Drosophila melanogaster: one gene and its partners. The protein of the gene in region 3 interacts with the protein of the main gene of each other region in a pairwise test. Each region holds a gene or a part of one and is shown on either strand. Other genes may lie near its edges.

Region 1 (8,425 bases), on a different chromosome or scaffold from region 3:
GCCATCTAAAGTTTCATGGCATTCAAAAATAGGCAGAAGTTGTCGGAGTAAACAAACATTCTCATTTGCAAATAAAGATTCGCTCAAGTTTGGTTTCCCAGCCCAATAAATGAATTTCCATTGATTTATATTGCTTTAAGCTATCACTATTTATTAACACTTTTGGAGCTATACAATCCAAGCTCTTAGATGGCCACAACACCCAGTTTGGCGTCGGTCTTCAGGTACGCATTCTCGCCGTAAGATCCGCCGTATTGGCTCTTCTTGAAGACTGAAAGGTAGAGAAGATACAAAAGAAGGTAAGTCTGGGTGGCAAAGCGGTGCTATGAAGTCAATCCAAAATCATAGGATAAACAATATTATCCAGTTAAGAACTCCATGTTGTAGCTTAGTTTAGGAACCCACCTGGATCGACCTCAGCCACGAAGGAGCGTGGTGGCAGAGCAGCAGCGTATAGCGGGTCCAGAGGGCCGTAGGGCTTGGCCAAAAGTGGGCGACCCTGCTCCCATCCATAACGGTTGAGGGAATTCCAGTCAGCACCGTCCAGCTTGGCGGCGGAGGCAGCTGCTCCGGCAGCGTTGGTCAGGGCAGAAGCCTGAGCCTCGGCGGTCTCAGCGGCCTTAACCACATCGCCGTAGCTGGCTCCGTATCCGGATCCGCCGTAGTTGGGGCGATTGGCCACAGCCAGGGCGACGCAGCAGGCCATCAGGCAGAGAAGACGTAGGGTGGCGGACATTTTTTTTTGGTGGTGGTGCGAGGAACGGACTGTTTCGAAAACTAATTAACCAGAGCGTGTGTCCAAATTGCTTTTATAGCAACACCATTTGAGCTGCTCCGCGATTTGTGAGCTCACCAGACGTGACCAAACCACCTCGATGACCAGTCACTTTCGGGGGGCCGCCACTGGCAGCATCTCCAGCCCCCTCCGTCCCCTCCGGCCCAGGGCGATAAGGCCACGGGATCGTCTCCAATTTCTATGCTCATTGAAATTGCGCGCCAAATTGCGGCACTGCCACAACCCCGGGAACCCCGAGAAGCTGCTCCATTGATAGCGACTTCCCCCTGCTCGGCACGCTCTGTTCGCTTCTGGTGTGTGCGGTATCGGGGCTTTGGCCGTACTCCACGGCGATCCGGCCCATGCACGCATCGGAAATCGGGCCAACTGGGGTTAAGCCACCGATCAATGAACACTAACCGGAACCAGCGACGTACGAAAGTCTTTGGACGTCGGGCAAACTCTAGTTTTAAAGCTGAACAATGTTTTTGAAAAGTTTGTGGATCGTAAACTCAGTTCTATGAATTTATTTAAAAATGGACAAAAATGTGCATAGCAACAAAGTGGATTATTACGTCAATATTCTAAGTTATGTTTCAAATAGATTGGCATTTAAGTTATGCCTTTTTATTAGAATTTCATTCTTATATTTATTTTAATGTAATATTACAATGTTGCTAAATACCAAATTTTAAGCTGTTTTACTGAAAAACGTCGTACGGTTAGTTAGTAATAATATTAAACTTTATTTATATTTCGGCTTAACACAAAACATAAATTCACTTTTACGAAAAATTAAAATTATTCAAACAGACAAAACCTCTACACACATGGTTTTAATTTCAACGACAAGTTTTCCCAAGAATTGTGCCGCACTCGATGCCAGAATTCTTGCCGTGATTCACCGCTCGACTCGAATGTCAAGCGATGGCCAGCAACATTGAAGCTCTTGGCCAAGAGTTTGGCCCCAAACAAGTCAGCAGATGCGATTGCTTACCAGCCAGAATACAGAAAATATGAAAATGAGCGCGGCAATCGGCAAACACGGCGAACTGTGGCGCTTTCTGGCCTCAAGATTATTGACTGACTGACACAATAAATAATTGACTGTTTATGGCTTGCTGAGTGATTTGCGAGCGAACCGGAGCAAGCAAATCCGGAGCACGTTTCCGCCGAGCCACTCAAAGACATTCCCGGTGGCGACTGCAATCAAATGAACAATGCTCCACCCGCTCTGAACAGCTGCTGCAGCTGCATTTGAGCTCGAAAGACCCGAAAATTTGTTTTCTCATAGATATACAAAAAAATACCTAAAAGCCCCGAAAAATATATATTCCAAATATGATTATGATTTTTTCTTGTTGTTTATTATGTACACGATCAGGCTGAGATCAAGTATCCGCCAGGTTGGCTGGGGATAATCAAGTATGCGCTTAGTAGCCGCTGCTGCGGGGTGCAGAGTACTGGCTAACGTACTGGTTGCCATACTGGTTCTCTGGGACGAAAAGCTTGGCCACTGGAGCAGCAGGGCGGATGGGCAGGATCACCTTGCTGTACTCCGGGGGCGAGACGTAAGCCTTGTAGTTGTTCTGGCCGGGGTACAGGAGGGTGGCACCGGCGGGCTGGACAGTCCAACGGGGTCCGTAGCCGGCACGACGGTAGTTGCCACCGTTGTAGCCACGTCGCTCACCGCCATATCCACCGCTGACCTGGATGGGACGCAGGATCTCGGGGGCATAGCTGCCGCGGTAACCGCCGGCGATGATCTCCACGGGGCGCTCATAACGCTGCTGACCCTCGGCTCCAGCAGCAGCTGCTGAGCTGGCGGCGGAGGCGGCGGAGCTATCCTGACCGTAAGATCGCTGTCCGTAGCTCTGCTGGCCACCGTAGTTGGCGTAGCAGCTGCCCACGATGCAGGCGCAGAAGATGACTGCCAGAGTCTGGAAAATCAGGAAAACTTTCAGTTAGCATAAGTCCGGAAAATGAAAGAGCGGCAGGGAATACGGAAGCGGTTCTCAGGGACACTTACAGCGAACTTGTTCATGGCTATGATGTATGGGTTTTGGCACAGTTGGCTGAATTAACATATTAAATGGCCAAGCACACTTCTTTATATAAGCAAATTTATTGTTGCACTCGAAACGTGATCTCGCCCAGAAATTTATCACGGCTCAAGAGCTGGCTTCGTCGTCTCTTCTCGGCCAGTTTGTTGGGGAACTTTCTGTGGATTTCTAGCTTTTCCTAGCCAGATATCGGGGCTCCACGTTGAGCTCGTTTCGGCTCGAGCAGGTTGCTCACCGCAGCGTATCGTATCGCCTCCATTCGCCGGTTGACCTTCGTTGGGGGTGGCAGATGCAGATGCTCCCAACTGAGGCCCAAAATCAATGGTTGCATTTGGGTGCGTGCGGGAACGCAAGCGGGTTAATGGGATAACGGGCCAACGACTGACCAATGGTTATTGGATATGGATTTTATAATATTATCTATACCTTCAAGTAAACAGAACAAACCAAATTTTAACGATAAAACATAACTTCAGAGTCTATGCCTTTATGCACATTGGCAAATATGTTATTGTAATATATATAGCCCTTTGTTTGATTATACAATTTAAGATGTTCGTCTAAGAATCTATTAGTGAAACTAAGGGTTTCATAGGTGACTAAATTCTTGAGTCACTGAAGCTTAACCTGTCGACTTTGTAGCTTAAAGTGCAATAGTACTTCTATATAGTATTGTACAATCTGCCGCAGTGAATATTCTAGCTGCCCCACTTTGAAACCCATCTTGTGTGTGGAATAATAATAATGACCCACCGCTAAATCTTAACCCGAATGCGCTGAAAAGTATGTCACAATGCAAAACACACAATACGTATTTCTTTTCGGTATTTTCCATTGCGTTCAAGCTGCTTTTATTCACTGATTCTCAGAGTTTCGCCATGACAGCCACTCGAGGATTTTAGCAAGGAGTCGATAGTTCAATTCACTGCCGATGAAGCGAGAATTAGTAAGCACGTTGGCCGTAGCCGTGTCCGATCTCGTAGCCGCGAGCGCCATCCAACTCGTAGGAGGGAATGGCGTACTGCTTGTAGGTTCCGGGATTCACGGCAGCGGCGGAAGCGGCGGCAGCGGCAGCGGCACTTCCTCCATTACCCTCCGATCGCAGGCTGCGGGGATAGCTGTTGTAGCCACGGGATGGTCCGTAGGCGGGCACCTCCTCGTAGACGACGCGCTGAACAGGACCGTAGCCACCACCGTAGCCACCACCATAACCTCCACGGTTGCCGTACGCTGGGCTGGCGTTGATGTAGGCGAAAAGGGCCAGGGTAACGCAGACAATCTGAAGGTGAAAAGGGGAAATCCGGAGGATCAGTTGGCTGCCACTCCTTCACGGGGACTACCACAACTTACCAGGTACTTCATGGTGAGTGCTTAGTTTTGTTGGTTTGGGGTAATCAATCAAACTATGATTTACCGACCAGAAACGCTCGCTTTTATACGCAAATTTTAGCCTGGACATTTACGTGACCTATATACACTAATTGTTCTGTTTCAGCCCAGAAATGGCATTTCATAATTGCCCGGCTGGAATATACTCACATTTGATTTATGTACTTGTTGTCAAGCCATTATAAAATCGCTTGGTTACGCGATGTGCTATTCTACCGGGTGTTGGGTAGTGATAGCACTACGAACACGCGACTCTTCCAAATGGGAACCACGAACGCGTTTATTTTCGAATACAGTCCAAAATTTGTTGAATTGAACTTTATATTATCCACATTCTCGGGGGTAATGGTTTCCAGGTCGGTTGTGTCCGGAACTTGGCTTGTCTAAGTGAGGATTCTTCTAGAACTGGTTCCAGCCGGTTTTTCTGATAAAACCTATATAGAATCATCCCTTTAAAGTGACCACTAGTCACATACAAAACTTAAAATTATAACTAAAACATTTTAAAGTATTTCAATCATTTTGAAATTTTACAAAAACATAATTTCAAGCAAAACTATATTCTATCTAATCTCATTTTATCTAATAGGTTCTTTACTTATGGTAACTTAAAAAAGTCAAGGCTTATTTGACGAACTATAGTTTTAAAGTGGCCCCACAAATGAATTTAGTTTTAGCTTTTCAGCTTCATTCGCCATGAGAATTATTCTTTAGCACTTTAAGCAGCATTTTCATTTAACTACGAAACCACGAAATTTTTGCTGGCTCAAAGTATCGCTTGGCATTGCAATGAACCGCAAGTCTATGCCAATTCAGCTAAGATATGCAGATCTCAATTCTCGGCCCGAAACTAAAAACCCAGCAAGAATACAGTACTCAAAATTTTAAGTCTTGATGTTTTGGCTTTTATTATTATGACCTAGTTCCTTATGGGCAGGTAAGTTTTTGGTTCACTGTTCAACGTTTTGCCACTTAGTAGCTGGGCCTCTTGTAGCCCTTCTTTCCGGCGGCCACGGAGCTGGCAGCAGCGGCTGCGGAGCCTCCCTTCACCTTCTCGCTGTGTCCGTACTCCTGGTTCACGTAGCTGGTGGGGGGATAGACGGGCTGGGCGTAGCGGGGAGCCTCCTTCCAGACCAGAGGAGCTCCAGCGCTGGGAGCGGCCAGGGCGAGCTTGGCGAGGGCAATGGCCTGGGCATCAACTGGTGGGGCACCGCCGTAGCCGGAACCGGAGTACTGAGATCCCACATTGGCACCGCTGTAGGCAGAGGACACGGGCACAGGCACCGACTCGTAGGCACCGCCATATCCTCCATGGTTTCCGCCGTATCCACCACCGTATGAGGGAACGATCGCCTTAACGGTCAGGGCAGGCTGCACCTGGTAGGCATAGCCACCGACTGGGGCACCACCGTATCCACCACGGGAACGTCCGTAGGAGTTGGCCGAAACGGCAGAGATGGCGCAGAGGCAGATGCACTAAGGGATTCAAGAAAAAATTCAATTAATTTGGGTTTAGACTGAAGTGTATTAGAAAAGAAAGATCCAATCATATTATCCAATTATTATAATATGTAGTTATATTTTATTGAAAGGATCATACTGGACTCAGTTGAGGTGTCAATAGAAACAATATTGGAACTTAAGGCTTACCATGAACTTCATCATTCTGAGGCTGAGTTGGTTAGTTGATCGATGCGAAGGTAACTAATGTCTTATTCTGGCGCAATGTTTTGTTTTTATACCAGATCCAGGCAGAGGCCCAACTCTTACGTGACGAATATGATGCAAGTTTCGGCTCTCCGGGTTCCCGCAGACGCAGTTCCAGGCCTCGCCTCTTTGTCCAGCAATCTTGAGACGCCGCCGGAGACGTGCAGCCAGGCCGAATCCGCACTGGCCAAAATGCTGGCTCTCAATTCGGGCCGGTCCAGATAGCAGGCGTCTGTGCTTACGCCATCGTCTACCAGAGACGAGACCCATTACGTAAGATTCCGACCGCATGACTCTTCGTGCTCCGGATCCGCATAGTTTCGATCAGTATTGCAGTTGCTTTGCCCCACGGTGCCGAGAGCTTGACACCGATTTTTCAGTGACACAGTGAAGTCAAGGCAGTGGCCTGAAAATTCTGCTGCGTTGGTAGAATTTATATACAAAAGCAAAAAAAATTGAGATAAAATTACAATAAAATTATAAACACAACCGTTCCACTTTCCAAACTGCCGCACTAAGCTTTTTATAACATTCAATTGGCGCTACACAAATTGTGAATGGCTTATGGGCGGGCGCAAACATTTAATAATGAATAATAAATTATTTAGATGTTGGCCAGGCTCAGGGTACCAGCATCCAGTAGCCAGAAGACGAGTGAAAACGATCTTTCTCCGTATGCATTTTCTCTTCAAGATTGCTTTATTGGGATTTAAGCTAGTTGCTTTGCTCTTAGGAATTAAGTAAAAATATTATAAGACTGGAAACTGGAACTAGCGCCAACGACGACACGATAAATATTAAATAGTAACATTATTCGCAATACAATGCAAATGTAAGTCGGCTGAAACCTCAAGCCAAGATTGACGGATCTGAACATCCATCACAAGTCCGATATAGCCAGCTTGTTGAACAAGATATTTAGCGGAGGCTAATCTAGATAAACGACACGTTTGGGCCAGGGCCCTCAGACTTTATAAGAGCCGAGCTGCCGATGACAAGATCAGAAAACTGTCTCCAAACGCTTACAAAATGAGTAGTCTGCGTTGCAAGGTGAGATGAGATGATTATGGTTTCATCGGCATGGACACATTAATGGTAATTTCAATCTGCAGATCCTACAGTTGGCTGTGCTGCTTGTACTGGCTGCTTTGCAGATCGGAGCAGATCATTTGGAGAGCGATGAATGCGGCTGCGGGCGGCGGGGCTGAGATGATACATCAATAAACAAGCGTCAAGCAATGCATACAATTCGAACTGTTGTGGGTTCTGGGGCAAAACCTATCAGAAGACACGTACGGCTGGTCGCGGGGCCAGCTGTGTTTCGCACATGGCCCGTAGCCGGGCGAGCAGCATGTGCAAATGCTTTAAGCAAGCTGTCGACGATTGCTGGGCCCCTAGGCCATGTTTCCCAGTCAAGGTTTCCATATACATGCGCTTGTACAGCTTTGACAACTGCTTGGGATCCTTGCCGGCCAGCGTGAGCTTCGTAAGCGTCTTCAGCGCATTCTGCAGGCGGCTTTCAAAGAGCGTCAAATGGCCGGCGAACTCGTCATCGGCCACTTGGCCACTGTTAGTATCGATGACGTGGGCAAATATGAGGTGACACTGTAAACAAATTTCCAAAGCCGCTTGCATTTGCTTGATCTTCTGTGCGGTGTGAGTGGAAACTGCCGGAAAATTGAATTAATTTATTTTCTAACTCTTAGTGGCCTTTACCATCTGGTATACTCACGTTCGGCCAGAAATTCATGAAGGGAAATCCGCTCTAGCTGCACCACCAACAGGTCTCCCACCTCCTTAAGGCTCTCTAGAATTTGAGTGGCCTTCTCGTAGTGGTATTTACAGAGCTGTAGAGTAGATTTGGGCAGCTGAGAGAAATCACAACAGCCATGAGAACGCAGCTGCGAGTAGTGGAAGGAAGCAATCCTGGAAAAGTCAATAATTGTTTTTATGCATTTGCTAATTGCAACTCATAGTCCTCCGTCCTACCTTTTGTGTATTAAGCCCGATCGAAAACTGTATAGCACTTGTCGTGCACCAGGGTGTTCGACATCACAAAGTCGCAACGATTTCTGAAGCAATTCCAGCACTTCTTTGGAGGCGTCAACTAGGCTGGATTTGTCTGCTGCGCTGTGGTCCTGAAGTTGTTTAGCTAACGTAAAAGTGGCAGTGGATAATTCCCAATGGACGAGGTCCCATAGTTCGGGGTTTGCTTTACGAGTATCCAGACAATCTTTGGCCTTCACGTAATAGCTGAATGCCTCGTTGTAGAAGGCTTTTTGGCTTTCTAAGGTTATGGCACTAAATGAAAAGGAGTTAAAACGAATCATGATTATTAAAACACTATTTACCTCTCATTGGGCATGATAAGATGGGCGCGCAGGCGCATAAATCTACCAATATTGCAATATAGAAACGCCAAATTGACATTATCTTTCACGGCAGTGAAGGCTTCTATTCCTCGACGTAGGCAATCATAAGAATTAACTGT
Region 2 (10,202 bases), on a different chromosome or scaffold from region 3:
CGCTTTGCTCAGACGAGACTCTTGCAACTGGAGCTGATGCTTCAGCTCCTCAATAATGGTTGAATCCAGATCATTATCCACTGTCACAGTGGGCGTGGCGGTCGTTGTTGCCTTCGTTTTGTATTCCTTCAGACGCTTCATAAGCTTGGCGGCTTTAGTCTGTAGTTCGGTCTTTTGCTGCTCGGCATTGGACAACTGCAGCTCTAATTGAGCGATTCTCGTGTGCAGGTGCTCCACATCGGTTTGCGGCGCTTCGTTGGCAGCACTGGCCCAGGGATCCTCGTCAACGCCCCAATCAATGGTTTGAGCAGTCTGCTCCTGAATTTCCTGCTTTGGCTGGCACAAATATGCCTTTTTGGGCTGGATCAGTGGTTCCACCACTGGCTCCGTTTGGGGCAGACCCAAATCCAAATGGTGACTAACAGCATCGGGCACTGTTTCCTCTGCCTGACCGCCGAAGAACATGTCCAATGTAGGCGCTGCCGCCGGTTGGATAAGCTTCTCCAGTGCCGCCAAGCGATCACGTTCCTCATTTGCCGTTTGAATGTCGGCCAGCTGCTGTGTCCGTTCGCTTAGCAGGCGCTCTACTTCCGAAAGACGCTGCTCCAACTGCAAACGTCGCTCTTCCTGCTCGGCCAAGTTCTGATTTCGCGCCAGCAGCTTCGTTTCCAAGTCCTGTGCATGCTTCTCCAGATCAGAAACGTTTCGCTGAAGATCCTCGATTGTAGGTGGTGGAGAAATAGGTGGCGGTGCACTTGCCGCTAGGGAAGAAACCCTCAGTGGTTGGGCTATCTCATCGAAGGGCGAGGGGGCGGCCAAAGCATCGCCACCAAAGAACAGTGAAGCCGGTGGAGGATGCTGCTGAGATTGTACAGCAGGATGATGATGCTGTTGCTGCTGCTGCTGGTGCTGCTGCCTGGCCAGTTGTGCCTGCAGTTCGCTTAGCTGCTCCGCCAAACGCTTGTTCTCCGTTTCGATGTAGACCTGATCATCAGTTTGATTCTGACCCAGAGTGTCCAACTCAGCGATTCGCTGCTGCAGCGCCTGCAGCTCCTGGCTGTGATTGGCGCATAGAGCATCTATCTGAGTGCGCAGGTTGTCCATTTCGGTCTTGTCCTGCATGGCCTGCATGCGAAGTTCCTGTAGCTCCAAAACATCTTGCTCAGCACTGTCATGCTGCAAACGAAGCAGTGTCACTTCCCTACTCAAAGTGGATCTCTCGCGTTCCACCTCCTGGAACTCTTCGTTGAGTCGCTGTAGTTCCTCAGTTCGTTGGGCCACCAGCTCTTGGGACCGCTCCAATTGCTGGCAAAGCTCTCGCGTTTCGGCTGCAGCTCGCTCCACATGGCTATTGAGGTCGCATTCGAGTTCATCGAGCTCCGTGGCCTTGGCTGCCAGTTTGGCATCGTAAACCTGCCGCTGACGGTGCAGATCCGCCTCCTTGACGTCCAGTTGCTGTCGGAGTTCGGCCAGCTCCTCCTGGCTGTGGCTGCTCATCTGTTCCCTTTCTGCCTGGGCGGTGGCTGTTAGTTGCGAGTGTTTGGCCAGCAGAGACTCGTACTCCGTTCGCAGGCCAGCCAGTTGCTGCCTGCTCTCTTCAGCTTCGCTGGTGAGCAACTCAAGTTGGCGACTTTGAGCTTGCTCCCGTTGTCCAAGCTCATAGAAACGCTCCTGTAGCTGCTGATCCTGTTGGCGCTTCTGCTCTTCCTGCTCGCGCTGTTCCTTCAACTGTTGCTCCAGTATTTGCACTTTATCTTGGGACGCCGCTTGTTGGTTAGCCTGACTGGCGGCCTGTTCCTCAAGAGCAGCGCTTCTGGCCTGCAGTTCCGTATTCTGAGCCTCCAGCGACTCAATGTACGAGGCATCCTCCTGTAGCTTGGCTTGAATCCCTTCGTGAAGTGTCTCCAGACGGGCGATGGTCATCTCAAAGTTTGCCTTATCGCTGGCGTACTGTTGCGCCAACAGAGCGTGTTGCTCCTGGGCCGCCGTAAGCTGGACACGAAGCTGTTGAAGTTCTCTCTCTGCCACTTGGAGGGATTCCGCTTGTTGTTGCTAAAAATTTTTTTTATTTGTTGCATTAGAAGGTAAATGAGGTTCAAGTTCAAAGTTCAATCTCACCGATTGTGATTCCAATAGTTGATGTGAAGTTTTGGTAATGGTATCATCGCCTTCACCGGCTGCCCTGCTCCTTTCCAGCTTAAGAATCTCTTGTCGGAGGGCAGTAATCTGTTGTGGTTGATTATTATCTTCGACATCAAATATGCCTAAAAATCGATTACTCACCTCCGCATCCTTTTCTAAACGCAGTTGCTCGTGAGCGGCCCGCGCGTTCCGCACATGTTCCACCTCGCTGTCTTGATCCTGCTGCAGTTGCTGTAACTCACGCTGCAGCGATTGAATCGTGGCATTGCGAAGCTTTATCAACTCCTTGGACTTTTCGAATTTCTTCGATTTGGCCTCTAATTGACGCCGCAAATCCTCGACAGCAGTGGGCTCTTCGTTTACCCTCTGTCCAAGATTATGGATTTCCTCCTGAAGCTTAGAGATTTCTTCCCTGAGTCTGGAGTTTTCCTGGCCCAGTTGAAAGACTTCCTGATCGGCTTCTTGGCGCTCGCGTCGCAACTCCTTGCTTACCAGATTGGCATCTTGGAGCTCCGCATCACGTTCTTGGATAAGTTGCTCCTGCTCTTGTATTTGCTGCTTTAACTGACGCAGGGCATCGCGATTTTCCAGGTTGAGATGGATCTTGGCCTTAAGGTCTTCGTTAAGCTTGCTGACCTGTTGCTGCAGTTGTTCAACCCGATGGTTGTCCACGATGGGTTCACGTTCCACCTCTTCTTTCTGCTTGACAAGCTCCTGCTGTTCTTGAAGTTGACTAGTAAGTTCCTGGACCTTCTGCTCGAGATCGGCATTGTCCTGTGTGCGTTTCTTGAGGTTAAGGGCATACTTCTTGAGTTTCTCGCGCAGTTCGCGGTTCTTGAACTGCTCCTCTTTGTGGGCATGTTCTAATCCTTGATACTCCTGGATTTGCTGGTTCAGGGCATCGACAGTCTCCTGGCTGGAGGTCAACTCTCTGACCTGCTGGGCAACTAAACTTTTGCTAACGCGCAGAGCCTCTCGGAGCTGATCCGGATCCTCTTTGGCTCTCAATTCGCGCAGCTCCTCTTGTGCTGATTGCAATTCCAGCATCTTAAGGTTAAGCGCGTGCTCGCTTTCGCTGACACTCTCAATGAGTTGCTGCTTCTGCTCGGCAACTAGAGTCTGTAGGATACTCAGCTCGCCCTCCAGAGATTCGGCTCGGGCCTCTAACTCTCGACGAATCCTTGTTTGCTGCTCCAGTTGCTTCTCATGGCTCATTTCCTTGGAGTTGAGCAGCTGATCGAATTGCTCTGATTGCAGCTGGAGTTGTGTGATCTCGGCACTCTGCCTGGCCACCAATTGCAGCTGTTCTGCTTCGGTTTGACGCAGCTCCTTGATTTGATCTACCTGCTCCTCGATCTGCTGGCGTTGCTCGGCCTGCAAGGAGCGTGCGTCCTCCAGCTGGGACTGCAATTGCAGGATTTCATCTTCCCTTTGAGAATCGGAACCAACTATGGCCAATGGCGCTTCGGTTTCAGGATAGCTTTCCCGCAATTCATCCAATTCCTGGCGCAATCGGGAGATCACCGCCTTGAGTTCCGCGTTCTGTGCGTTTAGCTGCTCATATTCCGCAAGAGCTTTTCCGTTGGGAGCGGTCACGGCCACCACGGTCTCCACAACGGTAACAGTTTCTACCGCCGTGCTCGCTTCCTTAACCTTGTGGAGAAGCTCACTCAATTGGGTGTGACAGTTCTTGGCCTCCTTGGCCAGTTTCTTGGACACATTGAACTTGGCCTGCCTATCGTTGGCCTTGCGATAGGCCTCCAATTCAGAGTTGAGTTTGCTCAGGGATTTCTCGCATTTCTCAAAGAGCACGGGGCCTCCTTCGCCGGCGTCCAGTGTTGCGACAACTTCGGAGGAGCGTTGCATTGAACTGAGTTCCTGCGAGAGATTGGATGAAGTGGACGTGGAGGAGATCAGATCCTTCTCACGTTCACGCTGCAACAGCTGAAGAGAACTTGAACTTTCCTCCAATCTTGCCTGGAGTTGCAAATTCTCGGCCGACAGTTGCTCCAGCTTGTCCAATACCTCTCCGCGCTCCTGGGTGAAAAGTTCGAGACGTTCTCTAAGCTGGGAAAGAGTTTCGCCAGAGGAATCCTCCTCCTCAGTTTGCTCCGTCTGAGTGAGCTCGCTGACGTGACTTGGCCCTGGTGGATGCACTTGCTTCTGCTCCTGGGCGTCGCCCTCGCTGGCCGGACGTCGTTGGCCTAGGCACTCTAAGTGATGACGCTCCACTATTTCAATGGATTCCGCAGAACTGGATGAACTGAGTAAGGCCTCTAGGGCCTGTTGCAATTCCAATTTCTGCTCTTCCAGCAAACGAATTGTTTCCAGCTGCAGTGGATTATTGGACTCCGTCGATTGCTCTGGCTGGCGGTCGTCCTCTTGCATGTTGGCCAACTGCCATTGACCCTTCTCGTCCTCGAGGACGGCGATCCTTTGCTGCAGTTCCTCGTTATCAGCCAACAGTGAAGCCAACTGCTGTTGGCCATCTTGGGATTGGAATTTCTGCAGCTTCTTTTCCGCCTGCTTGCATTTCAGCTTTAGCTTTATGTTGGCCTTGTTAGTTTCGTCCAGCTTTAGCTTCAGCTGCTGCAGATCCTCCTGCATCTGCTTGCTGGCGGCACTGTCCTCCGAATGGTCCTCCAGAAATAGGGGCTTACTGCGACTGCTTTGCGCGAGTTTCTCCTCAAGGAGACGCAGATTCACATTGAGCACATTGAGTTCCGTTGTCTTTTCTGCGAGTTCTTCGTTTTGGGCAGCCATTGCCGACTTCTGTTCCTGCAGCTCTAGAAGCTGCGCCGCTATGGTGGCTTCCAGTTCCTCAAGGCGCTGGGAAACAATCTCATCGGTCACCTGGAGCTTCGCCTGGGCAGCAACTTGCTGACGCAACTCCTCATTAGTTGCCTGTAGATCAGCCAGCTGGTTGGTAAGCTCCTGGAGCTGTTTGGCTAGCTCCGCGCTCACCTGTGCATCGGTATGCGCTGCTTCCGATTGCGGACTGCGGGAAGCCTTTTCCTGCTCTTGTTCCAACTCCAGATTACGCTGTCTTTCGCGCGCCGTGGTCAGCTCTTCCTGAAGTTCACAGCGCGTCGTTTCTAACAGGTCGTTGACGTTTTCCAGCTCTGCTAGTCGTTCTCTTAAGACTAAAACTTCGCCCTGGAGGCGAGAGTTTTCCTGCACCTTCAGGCTATCCTCTTCTGCCTGGACCACACGCAATTGCTCTAACTCCTCGTTTCGCTGGGTGAGCGTGCGCTGTAATTCCGCACCGGATAGTTCCAATCGCTCGATGAGTTTAGCGCGCTTGGCCAGTTCTGTACGCAATTCATTTAGCTCCTGTTCCTGCCGGCCCTGCTTGAGTTCCGTCAACTTCATACGACTCCTGAGCAACTTCACCCGGCTTTCGTCCACCGCCTCCTGACCCTGGGCCTCCAAGTCCAAGGCAGAACGATGGCGGGATACGGGTGGATTGGAGACAGACGCCGCGTGTCGTAGGTCCGTCATGGAAGAGCCCAGCTCGGCGGTCGTTTGGTGGCCAATATTCGACTTTACAGAAAGAAGAGACTTGGCCAGATCCCTCTTGCGCTGCTCCAACAAAGCACGATTTTGTTCCGTGCGCTGTGTGAGCATCAGAAGCTTCTCGCTGCCACTGGTTTGGAGTAAAGAGACATCACCGGGGTCGCTGTCCTTTGTGGGTGAGACCAGTGGAGTGGAGGAGTCGCCGGAGCGCGTCTTCAACACGGTGAGCTTCTGACCCAGTGTCTTAAGCGACTCCATGGAGTCACTCATGCTGGACTTGTGTCGCTCATCCTGGGATTTCCTTAAGGCGCGTTCTTTTAAGGCAGTGAGGCGCTCCTGAAAGCAATCATTTCGAGTCATTTAATGATATGAACCACTTGATTCACAGCGCCTAACTCACCTGCTGCTTGTACAGATTCTCTTTAAGGCTATCCAAACGGCCCTTGCCTTTGGTGCCTCTCGTTGTGCTGGCGGATACATTCTGTAGGGTAGATTCAACAGATAATATTGAATCCTGCTTCACTTGGGGGATTTGTTCAGATTTACCCACCTGTAACGAGGACAGATCGTTGGAGCTGCCCGCTAAGCGTATATCCGCCTCGCCATATTCGTGATCGTCGGGCTGCAAGTGGTCATGATCAGTATGGACGCATGTACGTACAGGGAACACCAAGTGAAACCCACCTGAACGATGGAGAAGTCGTAGGAGCTCTCCAAAGCACCCGAATCTTCCGCCATTGTCGTTTCAATTACAAAATATTACTAACTATCCTAGCGTACCGGACCAAATGCAGCAGCAATAACAAAAAAAAAAAAAAAACCAAAAACAAACAAAAACACAAATCGGGGGAATCGGGAATATATATGCGGACTGGCTATCTGAAGGACCGATTATATATCCACGGTGGCTGCGCAGCGCTAGCTATCGACATTGACTGCAACGAGAGAGGGTTTACCATATAGCTAACATATATCATCCGCTTCCGATCGGCTAGAATTGTCTTTAGCTTTGAATTTGCGTTTCTTGTTGTTCTTTTTATTTTATGGAATTCGTGGCACTGACGTGTGCACCTCTCTATAGATGTGTGCGTGTGTGTGCGGCTGTGTGTGTGCGAGTGGGGCTGTGTGTGTGTTTTGTTTGCTGTTTTTCCAGCGCTTGTGTCGATTTTCGCCTGGTTTCTGAGTTACAAGCCACTAAGCACTAGATTGCAACGTAAGAGCTTTCTTATGTGCACGCTGACAGATGTATATTTACCAATTCTAATTAATGCCAGCGTAAAAACAATTCGATACCAGGGCTGCGCAACAACTGAATAGGGTCACAAAGCCCTGGTAAGTTATCGAATGACAGATGGCTCGATAGCACTTGCGCTCGTAATCAATCAATCGATTACAAACTAATTCAAAAATTTTGCATTAATTTCAAATTGATTTTATTTATTTTCATACAACAAATTATACTAGTTTGTGTATATAACTTGTTATACAACCGTTTAATATGTCTGATGCTTAATTTTAGACATGATTGGTTAATTTTTGGTTTTGGCTAATAATATTATTGCATACAATGGATACATTAGTAAATAAGGACTACTTAAAAACAGGTCAGGGATTCGACACTTAATAATAAAAACTACCACGACAACATCGTTAATATGCGAGTTATGCAAAACTGATAATAAGGAACCATTAGACTAGATGCAACACTTAAGTACAAAAGAAATAACCCTAGCCTCCAGTGTTTGTTTTTTTCTTCATGCTGCAGGAACAAGGAACGAGGTATGTATGGTTCGGAAGAGATTTCTATGATTTTAGGACCTCCATAACCGCTGCGTGTCCGCCGCGCTCCGCATAATCCATGGCGGTCAGGCCGAGCATGTCCTTCTCGTTCGGATTCTCGAAATAGGGCAGGACGTATTGCACCACCTCCGGAAATCCGTGCAGTGCTGCCACGTGCAAGGCCGTCCTGCCCGAAGGATCCGACTGGGCAAGATCGGCACCGGCGTATTGATAGGACTTCAATCTGATCATCGATCCCCTAGCAGCGGCCGCGCACAATTGCTCGCCCACCGCTCGCGAAGAGCCCGTCAAATGAGCACCACAGTTGATGAGCAACTGGATGATCTCGTGGCTATCGGTGGCGACAGCCTCCAGAAGTGGAGTGCGGTCATACCGATCACGCACGTGCACGGACACCCCGTTCTGCAGTAGGTACTTAACGATCTCCACGTTTCCCAGCTGACAAGCCAAGTGTAGGGCCGTTCGCTGGTCATGATTTGTGCCCGACAAGTCGGCGCCATAGGCTTTCAAGTTGTTGATCTTCTTGGGATCACCTTCGGCCACAGCGGCGTTGATCATGGCCGGAAAGAGCGTTTCGCCCAGCTGATCCAGTTCTTGGGGCGAGGACAAGTGCAGAGACCGTGCCACTGCGTCCACCAAGTCGTAGTCCTCCATTTTGGGAGCCTTTAAGGAGGTCAGTTCGCCCCTCAGGCTTGACTGCATCATCTATGAAATGCACACATTGTGGATTATCCATATTTATGTATGTATTGAATTATAGTCGAAACTTACCTGCTTCTTCATATCGAGTGACCACTCCTCCTTGCCGATGACATAGGCCAGCTTGGCCAGCGCCGCCTCGGGCGTCATATCGAAACCGGGAATTACACCGACATCGCAGAGCACCTTGCCCGTATCGTAGATCTCCGCCACTGTGCCATTGGGACACTGTGTACAATTGATGATGATAACGCCTCGTTCACCAGCCGCACGCAGTTCATCGATGAGATCTTTTCGGTTCGATGGTATGTTTCCAGATCCGAAGGATTGCAGGACAACGCCGCGAATCGGTGGCGCCAGGAAAGCCCGGAATGTGGAGTGCGAAATGCTCGGAAAGATTCGCAGCAAGCCGACGTTCTCGTCGAGATTCAAGTGTACGCAAAACCTTTCAATAGTGCATGGCCGGAATATCAGGCGGTAGTCGACGTTCACATCAATGCCGATCCTGGCCAGTGGTGGAACATTCGGTGAGTCGAACGCGTCTAAGGCATTCGAACTGACCTTCACCGTCCGATTGCCGCGCATCAACTTATGGCCAAAGAAGATGCAAACCTCCGGAATGATGTAGTTACCGGCTATGATCAAGGCTGACGTAAAATTGTCCTTGCCATCGGTTCGCGTCTCAAAGATGGGTATTTGGGAGCCCGTGATGATCACCGTCTTGCCCAAATTTTCCAACATGAAAGACAATGCAGATGCGGTGTAGGAAAGCGTGTCGGTGCCATGGAGCACCACAAAGCCATCGAAGAACTCGTACGATTGCTAGACAATAATTTGGAAAGGATTAATATTACCTTTCATATATATATATATGTATGTACCTGAATATCGCTGGCGATTCGCGCCCAATCGTTCATCGTCATATTGCTGCTGTCCAGCAGCGGTGTATATTCCGAGATCTGGTAGATAACCCGGCGATCTACGCCCTGCACAATGGGCAGCACCAGTGGAGCCATCGATGCAGATGCTCCAAAGCGGCGCAGCGCGTACTCCTCATCGTGGATGTTTGGATATTTGCGGATGCTGCGCACCAGGGCATTGGGAATGGGAGCTAACACTGCGATAATTATAGAATATTAATATTGATAGTCACAAACTCCGTGACAAATTAGTTTCCTAATCAAGATGATGATTTATGGTCACGCTTCGTGTGTCAAATGTTTACTAAAATACCTAATTAGACCACTCAATAAATAGCAAGCAAATAGTCAATATTTAAATAGAAGCATCAACAATCTGTTGACTGCCAATTGATTTGTTTTGTTTACATTCATACCAACAATTTCAACTTTCATACATATTATTCGAATAAAATGTTTTCAAGTGCATTGCTCTTATCATATCTGGCCATTTTCTAAGACTCCCCTTGTTAGTAAAAGTGGGATCTTATCTACATGGACAGATTCGGGCAATCCCAATGAATCCTCGTATTCGTGACATTCTGGGCTGCTTACCATTCCGCTCGTTGCGCACCATGCCGATGGTGCCGCCAGTGTAGATGACCTTCACCCGGGCCTCTTTGACATCCTGGGCCATGAGTTTTCCATCACTTTTATTCCTGCGGATCGTGGGACTCGGCAGAGTGGGCGATGCCGGCGGCATGCTTTTGTCCAGCGAGGCCAGCCTCTCGTGACCATTGGTCTTCAGGACGGGAATATCCATAATATAGAGTAAAGAGTATAGAGGATGATGGACTGCGGAGCGCCGGTTGCGAAGCTGTGTGCCTTATCACTGGCTGCTCAGATGGTGTCGTTCCGACGCGTAAACAGCAAATCCATTAACAGCCCGTGCCGTTGATGATTATTTGGCCAACTCGTTATCGTGCTAATCCGGATCGGATCCGAAGTAGTGAAATAATAATTCGCGGGGGGACGCCGAGATAGCACGTGGTATTGGGACTCTATCGCAGAGGAAATTGAAACGAAAAGCCCAAATCACGGCGGCGCAATCACTTATATATAGATAACCGCACCAGACTTTGGCCC
Region 3 (13,244 bases):
GATAAGCAAGACTAATTACCTAATCCACCATGTATCCACTTCCACAGTGCACCTACATCAACGGCTCTCCGCAGAACACCTTTGTGCCCGGACTGATCCAGCTGGCCGAGGAGAAGAATGTTTTCATTGCCGGCGATGACTTCAAGTCCGGTCAGACCAAGATCAAGAGCGTGTTGGTAGATTTCCTGGTGGGAGCTGGTATCAAGCCGGTGTCCATTGCCAGTTACAACCATCTGGGCAACAACGATGGCAAGAACTTGTCCGCTCCTCAACAGTTCCGCTCCAAGGAGGTAAGAGTCCAGCCAGGATTTCCAGGATTCCTCCTCTTATTAATAATAACTCCTCCTCCGGCAGATTTCCAAGAGCAACGTGGTGGACGACATGGTTGCCTCCAACAGGCTGTTGTACGGACCCGATGAGCACCCCGACCACGTCGTGGTAATCAAGTACGTGCCCTATGTGGGCGACAGCAAGCGGGCCATGGATGAGTACACATCGGAGATCATGATGGGCGGCCACAACACCCTGGTGATCCACAACACCTGCGAGGACTCGCTGCTGGCCACACCGCTCATTCTGGACCTGGTTATCCTCGGCGAGCTGAGCACTCGCATCCAGCTGCGCAATGCGGAGAAGGAATCCGCCCCGTGGGTTCCCTTCAAGCCAGTGCTTTCCCTGCTGAGCTATCTGTGCAAGGCTCCACTGGTGCCCCAGGGCTCCCAGGTGGTCAACTCGCTCTTCCGCCAGCGCGCCGCCATAGAGAATATCCTGCGTGGCTGCATTGGTCTGCCGCCCATCTCACACATGACCCTGGAGCAGCGGGTAAGTAGGGTCAAGTCAAAAGCAATCATTCGGATCCTTAATATCCTCGATTTCTTCTTTCTATTCACAGTTCGACTTTTCTACCATTACAAATGAGCCGCCTCTAAAGAGGGTCAAGATCCTGGGCCAGCCCTGCTCCGTGGAATCGGTCACCAATGGAAAGAAGCTCCATGCCAATGGACACTCCAATGGGTCCGCCAAGCTGGCCACTAACGGCAATGGTCACTGATGGATGGCCGCATCCCTGATTTTCGATCGGAATATATAATTGGAATATATATGGTTTTAGTTGGATAAACTACGAAATAGACTTAAGCTACTATTACTAACTGAATCGTTTAAATATAAAAAGGCGTAATAGACTGTTGTCTGTATACCACAAAACAAATATTTATTTCTTATGAGCACGATCATATCATATCATATCTTAGAGATCATGGAGTTTACTGGATATGGAACACATCTTCAAATGTTTGGGAAACAACAATGGAAGGAAGTTCCTGCATTGAAATACTTAATTAATATCCACGTTTAGCCTAAAATTTAGTTCTCGAAGATTATTCAAAAGTTCTTAGTATGAGTAAATTTTAGTTTAAGATGGGTAAATAATAACGACGTTTGTTTGGTACAAATAGTTTAGTTATTATCATATTAGAAGCTTTTTGTTCTCATATTCCAATTTCATTTTTTTGAAGGCATGAAAATAACATGAAATAGAAAAAAAAATGCCACCTTTTAGGCGAAAAACGCTATCTGTTGTGGTCTTGCTGCTAAAAATGTCAACCTTTTTTTCTGACAGTTGAATCGGTTTGATCCCGATGATTGTTGCTAAATATTAAAGTATAAAATATTATATGAGTGTTAAATTATGTCCGGTAAGACACTTTATTTTAATAAAGGTAATCGATCGTTGAGGACATAACCACTATCAAGTAACTAGATTAGTTATTGTATTGGGACTTCAAAGTTGATATTAAAACTAATTTAAATTAATGATTTAATTCAGTTAGATGATACCGAATGATACACACACGCTTTCTGTAATATGATTAATCGATTGTCAGAAGGAATAATTAAACCCGCTAAAAAATATGCAATGAAAATATGTTCTTCAGATTGTATCTTTACAATTGTTCCATACATTATGATAAGATTCTTTTGAGAATGGTGTGAGCCCACAATAAAGATTTTATTTACCCATCTGTTGCGATATCGAACTTTGATAGATTCTTATCTTGGATATAAGGCGTGTGTCGTATTGTAGCCACAGAATGTTACACACATCACCATCAGGAACTGAAATATTTACCTTATGAAACTCAATCGAATACTATTTTCATATTCGTTACTCATAGGGTAAAAGTATATATACTAGATTTGTTAAAGTACATTTATATAGTAAAGTATATATTCTTGATCAGGGTCAATATTGGAATCGATCTGGCCGTGTCCGTCCGTGTAGAGGTTGAGATCCAAGTTTGGCCAATTTCTATCGGTACAGCAAAAGAACTTTGGCCACGCACCTTCTAACCGCCCACACTTTTAAATTTTTTGTATATTTTTTTAAATTTTATTATTTGCCAATTTCTGGCGGGAACTAACCGAATCTGGATCTGGGCTATGGGATTTTTCCGTTCATATGAAAGTCTCGATCTTAGGCACTATAAAAGCTAGAAAGTTAAGGTTAAGCATGCAGATTCCACAGACATAGACGAAACTTATTTTCGATAACCCTGGTTGTTAAGCTTACCATAACGCCCAAAGCTGCCACGCCCACAGTTTTAAAGATAATGTTGAAATTTTTCATTTTGTATGAATTTGTATTTAAGTTTGTTGTTTTGATAATGTATTTTATAAGACTTGCAAGCATTGGGATTAAAATGGACATTTTTGAAAAGAAAATACGCTGAACATTTCTAATCAAACTAGTTCTAAGGCACAGACTAGTATGAGTATACTAGAAATGCCAAGAAAAAGGCCACAGACTGGACTCCCATGGCATAAATATGTCCCATCCTTCAAAAGCGCTGGGTGTTTTATCCTCTATTGCTTACCTATTCTATTATGGTGTCACACGTGATTAATATGGTTATGGGTGTTGTCACATTAGAGAGTAATTACTTCCTGCTCAAACTTATAAGCAAACTTATCGAGGTGACCCCGCACTCAAGCCAATCAATTCGATTCCCATTCGACCTGTATGATATTAGTGGCTTTGAAGGCGATTGATGCGATGACATGTGTATAATTAACTTCTTCGATATAGTCCCTTGCCATGGACAATAACTAAAATGGTGTCCGTGGGGATTGGCTTGGCCCTTAAACGTCAAGTTGTTGGCACAGACTTGCATTCCCCTTAGGGAAAAGTGGACACAACTCGCCAGCGAACTAGCAATATATTATATATCCCTATACGAATCTATTAGTCTACTTAAACCCAGTGCTATACTAACAAACATATACAAACTATAACTGGGTTACTCCGCGGTTTTCTAACCCATTGAGATGCCTTACAAATTCACCTTTGTGGCTTGAACCGAGCTATTGTGGCTTATCGAAACCTGTTAGTTAGGCTTCACTTTTGCTCACTCAATCGACTTCACTACAAAAAGACGATTAAGCATTACCAACCACACTATCACTGGCACTTAACTGGGATCTCGAAAAGATTTTTTTGGTTCGATTACTGGCAAATGAAATGTACTAAATTAATATTTTAACTATGCTATGTTACATATATCATGAGCATGAGAAACTCTTTAAATCTCAAAACCATTTTAAATAGGGTTTTGATTTGTATCAGTAATAAATGTTCTATAGAAAACGTAAGAAGTTATGTCTGTGAAAGGATGTTTTCATAACTAACATATTTATTAAGTATTAAGTATATAGATAATATATAAATAAGATATACATATGTAAGAACTAAAAATGCCACACTTTTACTATACTTAGGTTACAATGAATCCTAAAATGGATTGGAAATATACAAGGGTCATAATTTAAAAAATTAGATCTATGATATAAGGACTTTTTCGAACTTATAGGTCCTATTGCTGTAAACCTTTGCTTAAAGAACATTTTCGTGCCTCGGAATCTAAACATCATAAGTTACCAACGTGATTTTATATTAGCAGTAGAAAATTATTTCTTGACATGAGGGCAATGATACCATACATCAGGACTGATTCGAGAGTCAAGTGCCCAATAGGAGTACATACTCATGCGAAGAAGTACCTCCATATCGTGGTAAGCACCGAGGAAGCTCGCCGAGGACGATGTTCATGGGTGATTCATTTTCGATTGCCGAAATCAGAGTTCCGATTCGTGGTGACTCGTCTGGGAACAATTTGTATAGGAATCTTGATAAGGGCTCCAGCAATAGTTATCCGCAGCTCGTTAAACGCAATCGAGATCTACGTCAGGATTGTTAGAATATTGGAACACGCAGCGATAGCTACATTTACGGTGCCTTGCAAATTGGACGATAAGAGTTCGGATCGGTACAATCATTACCGGCAGTCCTCCCACTTCGTGGATCACTGTATCTGGAACTACAACTGGAACTTGTCCGGGTTTATCTTATCGTAGCCGATGCGTGGTCCGCTTCGTCAGGAGCACCGACGGCTAGTGGTTAGGGCTAGAGGTGCCGGTAACTAGCAGCGGCTAGAGCCCACAAGATAGCACTGAGCAGCGACGTCGGCGTCGACGCCACGGATGTGGATGTGTTGGGTGGGTGGGCCATAGTTCAGTCGTGAGTTGCGTTGCGTTGCGTGCGGTCAGAGGCTCTGCCGACAGTTGGGAACCCGGTCTGGAGTCAAGAGCCCAGTGTTTTGATCAGAGCAGTGCGAATTCGGTAAATAAATAATCCCGTGGTAGCCGAGGGTCTGAAATTATGCAAATTGCCTGGGTGCAAGTAGCACTAAGTGTGGCAAGCAGCTTAGCCCATAGTTTAGGACGATAGCCCAACTATGTATCTTCGATACTTTGTCATCGCCCGCGATAAGATATCATCCGACCCAGCCCGGTATCCGATCCACAGGTTTTCGGGGCACTGCTAACCCGGATAGATAAAGCTTTGCTTGCCACTATCACTCCCCGAACAAACGCCATTAGCCGCGTGTAAACACGAGTGTTGGGCTTCGTTTGATGGCTCCGCCAATGGACAGACCAGACCATAGGTGCTAGAGGTCGGGCAGACAGTGCCCAGCCTATCCCGCATATGTGTCTATGTGTCAGATAGACACTATTAATCAATGTGACGCAGCCCCAGCCCGGGGTTGAGTCAGAGCACCTGCTCCACCCTCAATCCTAACGTGGCACCCCGTTTGGGGACTTACCACTTGCCACTTTGACAAACGAGCCGTCTACTCCCTCTCATCCAAACCAAATCCCCGCGCTTACAGGCTTTCCTATCAGCATTGATAAGGCAAACTATTGACGGAGCAAGTTCGTCCGTGGAATGGCGACGCTCAGTGCGGCGCGTAGGCAAAAGGCAAAGTGCCCGCGCCGTTAAGAATGGAAATGTTTGTGCGGATCCCATATGGGCACGCATCATCGGAAAGAAACATCTGGCGCACTTCGGGAATGCCAAGTTCAATTGAGCCCCTGACGGCCACTGGGTGAAATGCCTCCAGTGCATTTCCAACATTGCTCTGTAGGTTGCAATTACGACCTGCAATTGATTCGCCCTAATCGCTGTAATTACATCTATTACCGAATCAATTAAACAAATGTTCTGCAAGTGTGGTGTTTCGAAAATCTTTCCCACACCCAACTAGGGAATCCTATAAGTTCAACGCCAGAATAGAAGGTATCAATCCAAAATTTCTTCAACTAAAAGGAAGTCAAAATAATATATCCTTAGGGTCACTAGAAATCGGATAGAAGTTAATTGATAAGCAAAACTTTGACTTTAATGGATACCTTGGAATGCAGATAATAGGTGCAGATACTTTTTCTATACTTATATTTTGGTTTCAATAGATTACGCTATCGTAGGTTTGGCTGTGAAATTTTTTTATGAATCATGAAAATGGCAAATACTATACAGTGCGCATATCAAATATGTAGGAAATGCTGCATCCCTTCAAAAACTATTAATAAAAACAGGATTATTTATAATACATTGTCGTTTTATTTGTGTAAATACCATAAGCATCAAGGTCAAAATTATGAATTCGTAACCAATTATCTCAGCAGATAGATAGCTGTTGTTTTTTTTTAATTAAACAATATGTTCTTAAGGAGATTTACTTAAAATATATTTGTGTGAAATATTTCATTTAGCTGCGCCAATGAGGGTTATTTAATTCAGTTTTTTGGGGATGATACATTTGATCTGTGTACAAAATAACTCTAAGAGGAGGTGAATTATATATTTAATTGAGCGTGTCCGATACAATATGGCATCATGTTGCTGCTGGGCACGCAAAGTAATTAATTCCAAAGATAATCAGTGGCAGAGTATCATGCTCGCAAAGGAACAGCAAAGTCTTATCCGATTGTTTTTCGCACTGCAGTTGCCAAATTGATGCCCATCGACATGGATATACCAAAGGAAGCGGAGTCGAACGACAAGTTCATAGTAAAGTATCGCCAGCAGTATTACGATTTGTCCAGGTTTATGCACAAGCATCCGGGAGGCATAAACACACTCAAAGGTCTCAACAGCGGGGACATGACAGCTCGCTTCCTAAAGGCGCCGCCACATTCGGATGCGGCCATGTACTTGATGAGGGAGTACAAAATCGATCCAGAGGACTCTCGGAAACCAAAGTCGAGCCAAAGGGAAACGTTGCATCACGATGAAGATGGGACTTTGCGACAACGGCCCAGGGAAACGGAGGACAAGAACAATAACCAGGTGGACGATAGTATGGAGGTAAGTTGGATGAGCGGTTTTTAATCTGTAACTCTAGTTGCTGGTCGACTGGATCGCACGTTAAGTTGGTCACAATGCTATCGGGGCGGGGTAGGTCTGCGATCCAAATCTCAGCTAAAAAATATATTATTAACGTAAGGCATGGTTGAAAGGAACACGCGTGTTTTGCAAATCCAAGATTCCAGTAGCTCGCTCGGTCAGTCAGTCGATGGAATGCTTTAATGTTTTTGGGAGCTATGTAGCATGAGTTCTCACAACTGTCGCGACTTGCTGGCCAGCACGAAGACCTTTGCCTTGGAGTATATGCGGATGTCCTCCTCCACGGTGGTCAGCTCCTTGTCGATCTCCGCCTTGCGGTTGCGCACCCTCAACGTCTGTGCAGTCATGGGCATGTGGTTCAGTTCATTAACCAGCTGTTCGTAGCCTGTTAAGATTCGTTAGCAAGGGTCAAACTTATAGTAGTAACATTAACTCACGTTTCTTAGCATTAGTGAGGTGCGTCAGTCGGTCCTGATCGCTGAGCAACACATGGCCACGCGGACAGTCGGGATCCAGCGATTCCGCAAGCTGCTTGGCCACCGCCTTCTCGCGCTTCTGCTTTTCCAGGTAACGCGGCAAGCGCACCTCATCTCGGGCTGTCAAAAAGTACAAATTCATGACTAGTTCAAATCAAATCAGGAGGGAATATAAGATATTTAAAATAGAGAATAATTATAGATTATATATGAAATAATTATCAAAGATATTTAATTTTGTCATTACTGTCGCTGACAATTGGTAAACAAGGGATAAACTCACATCCTAGTTTATGCTCACGACGCTTTGACTTAGAGCTTATGGTGGTGACATTGGAGGCCGTTGTGAAACGACTACGGGCACTGAGTGGAGCCTCGTCGTCTGAGGCGCCGTAGTTTGCAGGTTCGGCCTCGGTCATGGGCATAGCCTCCATTTCGGACATGTTGAAGCGACTCTGCTTCGAGGAGTTCGAACGCGCCGAAAGCGGCAACTGTTCCAAATCTTCCTCGTTTTCATATTGCATGGGTTTGTAGTTTTCCCCGTATTTTGCACCGGATTCCTCCAGTATAGATCTGGCATCAAAGTTACATCTGCGGATAAGATAAACCTTTGTGAAAACCTTCGAGTTTGGTGCAAAAAGTCATACTTCTTCAGAGCATTTGTTAGATAGAGTTCGTCGGTAATGTCCTCAGTTTGGATGGCTATGCTGGTGGAGCTCCGATTCGTGCCACACGATTGACAGCGATCAATGTCTGTATCCGACGAAGGCTCTTGGAGATTCTCGGATTCTAAGTTCTCCGACGGGTCATATAAGATGGGATTGCGCTCCTCCAGGCCATCGAAGCGTTCCCCCTCCGCCGGAACGGCCACGGCCAGTTGGTGCTGTGAGCGAGAGGTGCTGCGGCCATTTTGCAACGAGTTCTGTTTTATAGTTTTGCCCTTAGCTGCTGGTTTCTCCGCCTTCGAGTCTCCCATCACGGAGGAAGAGCGTCGCAGCGGGGGCATCCATTTCGGGCGCGTCGGCTCCTTAGCGGCCAACTTCTGGCTGGTGGACTTTTCCAGCGAGCGCAGGCTCACCTTGTTTTCCTTGAGGAAGTTTCGGGACTGTGTGACGCCTGTGGGAACGGAGACCAAAACAAATTACCAACTGGTTGCCATGGCCAAGCGGCTGTTTGGAAAAGAAATCTTACGCGGCACCGAAAAGATGCCCTTTAACGTTGGAATCGGGCGAACTGAAGTATTCGACATGTTCCACCTACTCCCGAACTATAACTAGACGGCTGGGGCTCCAGAAATGTGATCTCGACTACGACAAGTGGAAACTGCGTCGTTGTGTGAAGTAAGGCACAGGTTCAAATGACAATTTTGAACCAGCTGCTTGTGATTGTACCTGCTCATCGATGCCCGATAACATTATATATCGGTTCGGTGCTGACCCGCGGCTGGCCACATTCGAGCCAACTAACGGTTTATGGGATGTCCTAGTGTTTAAGTAAATATTAAATAAAAAAGCAAGTAGAAATCAAGTGAAATTCTTACTATTCTGTAATTATAGTAAAGTTAAAATAAAATAAATAAAAAAATATAAAATAAAATAAAAACTCTGCACAGCTTCTAATTTTAAATATTTAATTTTCAAAGGTAATTAACCAAACCAATTTATGGTAATACATACTGTATTAATTTATTGACTAACCTATTGTAAATTCATGAATTCCAGCACCTAGTGGACTGGTCTAAGGCAATGCTTCCGCAGATAGCTAACATAACGGATTGCTACGATGAGTGGGTTCACAAGCCGGTGGACAGGCCACTGCGTCTCTTTGACCCTTGGTACTTGGAGATGTGCACCAAGACGCCCTGGTGGCTGGTGCCCCTGTTCTGGATACCAGTGATCGTGAAATGCGCCGTGGAGGAGTTCACCACCGCCTGGCAGGATAGCAACCAGGTGAGTAGTCGCGCAATCTTCGCATTCTTGGATACGATCTTCTAAAAGTATCTTCTTTCTGCAGCTGGCTGTGTTCTCCGGTTACTTTTTATTTGGCGTGCTCCTGTGGTCTTTCCTGGAGTACACACTGCACCGCTGGGTGTTCCACGTGAAGCTGAGCAACAAGAGCGGAAGTTGGCTATGCACCTTCCACTTCATGATCCATGGCCTGCACCACAAGGTGCCCTTCGATCCGATGCGACTGGTGTTTCCGCCCCTTCCCGGCGCAGTGCTCGCCGCGGTCATCTACACCCCGCTCAGCTTTGTCCTGTCCCATCCGCGAGTGATCTTGTCTGGAGCTCTGGCCGGCTATCTGTGCTACGATATGATGCACTACTACCTGCACTATGGGAACCCTTCGCTATGGGCCTTTGTACACATGAAGCGCTATCATCACCACCACCACTTCTCGCACCAAACTCTCGGTTACGGCATCAGCAGTCCCTTGTGGGATGTCGTCTTCAAAACGAGAATCCATCTCCGCAAGCTGAGATACCAACTGCGCTGGTCCTAGCTGCAATAAATGGCTAATACAGTGCTACTATAGAACAAATTACATTCAGTTTTCAACGCAACAGAGTTGCTGCCGCAGCAAATAGTTCAATCAAATCGGAAATTTGGTTTTTAGCCTATTTGTGTAGGCTGAATACTGAGCATTAGGCTTAAGAATTATTTGTAAGACTTTTACCAATTTCTATTAAACAGGAATACACTTCCAATGATACCAAAGAACAAATGGAAAATCCTTTTTGAAAACAGAAAACTGGGCAATCAAAGGAACTATTGGAACTATTTTGGAACTATTTTGGGGAAAAACAAAAAATTTTCGGCAATTTTATGATGCGTCACCAAAGTTTACATTAGAAGTTTGGTACCTTACCTATATATGAGAGGGAATACTTTGATTAACTTTTAATTCCTTTGGTAAATGCCTTATCATCACTCTGGAGCGTTTAAATATTTTTGTTTAAAATCGAATAAATAAAGAAGCAGACAGACGGTTTGTATGAACACTTTCATTTACCTATTTCATACAAATCTGGTACAATCAGTTCAAGTTTGTTTAATAATTAATATTATATTATTAAAATTAGCTTAAGATAATTGTTTAAGACCTGTCTTAAGTGGAATTTCTCATTGGCGTTGCTTGGTCACACTACCAAGAATCCAGCGAAAGTTTTGTTTATTTTTTTGGGTCCCAATTTCTCCTGCTGGAATAATGCTAAATGCCAAGATCGGGAAGGTCGGCAAGGTACTGGTGTGCGGGATGAAGGGCGTGGGCAAGACGGCGCTGATAGAGCAGCTGGTCTACGGCCACGTCAATCCCGAAACGGTGAGAATGCCTTTGGCAGAGCTCAAAGTAAAGCTGATGTCTCATATCCCGGAGTTCATTGCAGGAACTGCATCCAACCATTGAGGATATCTACGTGGCCAGCGTGGATACAGGCAGGGGCGGAGCCCGAGAGACCCTGCGCATCTACGACACGGCCGGATTGCAGGGCGAGCAGCAGCAGCTGCCACGCCACTACCTTCAGTTTCCAGATGCATTCGTTCTGGTCTACGATCCCATGGATCCGCGCAGCCTTGACATGCTGGCCGACATCAAGGCTGACATTGAGAAGCACAAGGAGAAGAAGGAGATTCCCGTTGTGGTGCTGGCCAACGTGAGGGCACGAGCAGCCCCAAATCCCGTCGAGAAGGTCATGGACCGCGCCAACATCTGGTGCCAGCGAGAGCGCATAAAGCACTACACGGTGAACGCCATGGAGCGTCCCTCCCTCTACGAGCCATTCACCACGCTCTGCGCCCGGCTGCACCCAATGCAGACGAAGAGCACGTTCCCTCAGCTGCGCCAAGTTATGCAGAACCGGCAGAAGAGCGAGGCTTAGCTGTTTTGAACGGACGAAAGGGAAGAGATATAATTTAAGTTTTATTCGGGAGTGTCCCAATAATCTCCGATACTTAACAGTAGCTATGAATGCCACAGATTTGGCTTTAAGTTCAAGAGATCCTTGGGATCTCCCCAATCGTACTCGTATTGATCCATTTAGAGTCTACTTGCCTTGTATTAACTGTTGTGCTTTAATGTGGGCCAGAGCCCAAGCCACTTGTACTTATGTCTCTTTGTGTGTGTCCAATTGTATCTACTATTTATTACACCGACATGTCTTCTCTCATTCCGCGAGAATTAAGCGTAATCAGTATTCACTGCTCAATCGCAGCTCAAATGGCGCGTAGTGATTAAATAACCATGCCGAAATTCTGCTCTACGGCAATCCCCTTGGATCAGTCGTCTGCAAGCCCCTTCCTCGAGCGCAATGCTTTCGCGTGCCGCTTTTCTTACTGTTCTCCTAACGCTGATCTATGCCAGCCATGCGGCTGCGGGATTGAGCATTACAGTTCCGGGCACAAAGTGGTGTGGACCCGGGAACATAGCAGCCAACTACGATGACCTGGGCACTGAGCGCGAAGTGGACACGTGCTGCCGGGCGCACGACAACTGTGAGGAGAAGATTCCGCCGCTGGAGGAAGCCTTTGGCCTGAGAAACGACGGGTTTTTCCCCATGTAAGCGTGGATTCCATAGCACCCATGCTGATCTTGGGATCAATAATCGTGCGCTCCCCGCAGATTCTCGTGTGCCTGCGAGTCGGCCTTCCGGAACTGCCTCACCGCTCTGCGAAACGGACACTCCCTGGCTCTTGGCAAAATCTACTTCAACACCAAGGAGGTGTGCTTTGGCTACGGGCATCCCATCGTTTCCTGCCAGGAGAAGCAGGCCGACCTGTTCGAGACACGATGTCTCAGCTACCGAGTGGACGAAGGTCAGCCGCAGCGCTGGCAGTTCTACGACTTGGCCCTCTACACACACGTAAGCGGCAGCGAGGAGGACTCCCGAGATTGAACTTCGACGTCCGGCGATAAGCCCTCAATTGTTTACAAAACAGATTGTGCGGGGAGCGAAACCTAATGTGATTAGGATTTTGACGGTAGGTTATTTGTGTAATAAATTTTCGAAGCTTAAGGCTAAGTAGCCTGGAATTATATTAAAAACTGAATTCGGAGGCTCAATTAAAGTTCAAAATGATCAAGAAAATATTCGGAGTATTTTATATTTCATCCAGATTAAAGTGGGATTACCTTATAAGTAATAATTAATGTGATGTGCGCATCAGGTAATGTAATCATCTTGTCTACAAATCGTTGATATCATGTCAGCCCGCCGACGCTGGGATTGTGAAGAACGGCATGTCGTAGAACTGCCAGACCTTGGCCTTGGACTTGTCCACCTGGTAGCGGATACAGCGCTTGCGGAAGGTGCCCTCCTGGTACTGCTTGCATCCGGTGGTGGGATGTCCGTTGGCAAAGCACCTGCTCCTGCTGCCATAGTAGATACGACCCAGAGTTTTGGCCGTGATGCTGTTCACTGCCTGCAGGCAATTGATAAACTGCTGCTCGCAGGTGCACTTGAGGCTAAATTGAAAAGTGTCTGTCAATGTGCACAAAATCGATAAGGGACTTTAGGAGGTTTACCGCTTACATGGGAAACCAGTCTGTGTTGGTGGGCAGTCCGTGGAGTGCTCCGTGGGACTCGATAATCTCGTCGCAATGGTCGTGGGCACGACAGCACTTGTCCGTCTCCCGTTCGCGGCCCAAATCCTCGAAGTTCGCCGCCGTGTTGCCCGGTCCGCACCACTTGGTTCCGGGCACCGTGATGCCCGTATGGGGAACTGGTGGCAGTGCCTGGTTGTAGATGTCCTCGTCCTCAAAGATAGCCTCGTCGCCGAAGGCCCAAGCCATGGCCAGTAGCCCAAAAAAGAACGCTTCGCGCAGCAGCCACATGTCTCAGCTTCGGCAGTCGCAGCACAACTAAGTTTGATTTCGTTGACTTGAGCTGCCTTTGCTCGAGCTGATAAGGCGGCAAACAACAAATGAAGCAAGCAAGATGTACTTTAGTAACTCCAAAATTAATTCTTGAGGTCTAATAAACAGCGGATACTCCTAGTTAAGAATAATTCGCATTTCCAACTGACCTC

What was found.
Region 1: the proteins of Fa2h (region 3) and Cp15 interact in a two-hybrid assay, tested with the Drosophila melanogaster proteins (one large-scale study listed by BioGRID).
Region 2: the proteins of Fa2h (region 3) and lva interact in a two-hybrid assay, tested with the Drosophila melanogaster proteins (one large-scale study listed by BioGRID).

The regions. Positions count from the first base shown.
Region 1 is NT_037436.4:8,724,302-8,732,726, reverse strand, and holds Cp15 (chorion protein 15), read right to left. Parts: upstream 4,247-8,425; 5' UTR 4,201-4,246; coding exon 4,189-4,200; intron 4,118-4,188; coding exon 3,782-4,117; 3' UTR 3,661-3,781; downstream 1-3,660. Other genes in the region: Cp16 (chorion protein 16), read right to left, coding at 186-271, 406-736; Cp19 (chorion protein 19), read right to left, coding at 2,209-2,715, 2,805-2,819; Cp18 (chorion protein 18), read right to left, coding at 5,200-5,703, 5,878-5,892; CG43965 (uncharacterized protein), read left to right, coding at 6,964-6,984, 7,047-7,142; CG6511 (uncharacterized protein), read right to left, coding at 7,216-7,601, 7,667-7,860, 7,924-8,235, 8,286-8,425. UniProt on the Drosophila melanogaster protein: Chorion membrane (egg shell) protein; plays a role in protecting the egg from the environment.
Region 2 is NC_004354.4:3,958,359-3,968,560, forward strand, and holds the start of lva (lava lamp), read right to left. Parts: upstream 6,970-10,202; 5' UTR 6,397-6,969; coding exon 6,343-6,396; intron 6,281-6,342; coding exon 6,209-6,280; intron 6,140-6,208; coding exon 6,059-6,139; intron 5,995-6,058; coding exon 2,284-5,994; intron 2,227-2,283; coding exon 2,119-2,226; intron 2,053-2,118; coding exon 1-2,052. Other genes in the region: CG6428 (uncharacterized protein), read right to left, coding at 7,462-8,163, 8,230-8,979, 9,039-9,274, 9,672-9,879. UniProt on the Drosophila melanogaster protein: Lva and spectrin may form a Golgi-based scaffold that mediates interaction of Golgi bodies with microtubules and facilitates Golgi-derived membrane secretion required for the formation of furrows during cellularization.
Region 3 is NT_033778.4:7,442,880-7,456,123, reverse strand, and holds Fa2h (fatty acid 2-hydroxylase), read left to right. Parts: upstream 1-4,570; 5' UTR 4,571-4,678; intron 4,679-6,128; exon of another isoform or gene 6,129-6,344; 5' UTR 6,345-6,355; coding exon 6,356-6,706; exon of another isoform or gene 6,707-6,957; coding exon of another isoform or gene 6,958-7,130; intron 7,131-7,182; coding exon of another isoform or gene 7,183-7,341; intron 7,342-7,504; coding exon of another isoform or gene 7,505-7,812; intron 7,813-7,868; coding exon of another isoform or gene 7,869-8,337; intron 8,338-8,412; coding exon of another isoform or gene 8,413-8,470; exon of another isoform or gene 8,471-8,651; intron 8,652-8,942; coding exon 8,943-9,170; intron 9,171-9,234; coding exon 9,235-9,723; 3' UTR 9,724-9,935; downstream 9,936-13,244. Other genes in the region: Inos (myo-inositol-1-phosphate synthase), read left to right, coding at 48-290, 355-822, 893-1,051; CG11125 (uncharacterized protein), read right to left, coding at 6,958-7,130, 7,183-7,341, 7,505-7,812, 7,869-8,337, 8,413-8,470; kappaB-Ras, read left to right, coding at 10,429-10,542, 10,607-11,098; CG30503 (uncharacterized protein), read left to right, coding at 11,528-11,775, 11,839-12,112; sPLA2 (secretory phospholipase A2), read right to left, coding at 12,423-12,681, 12,749-13,050.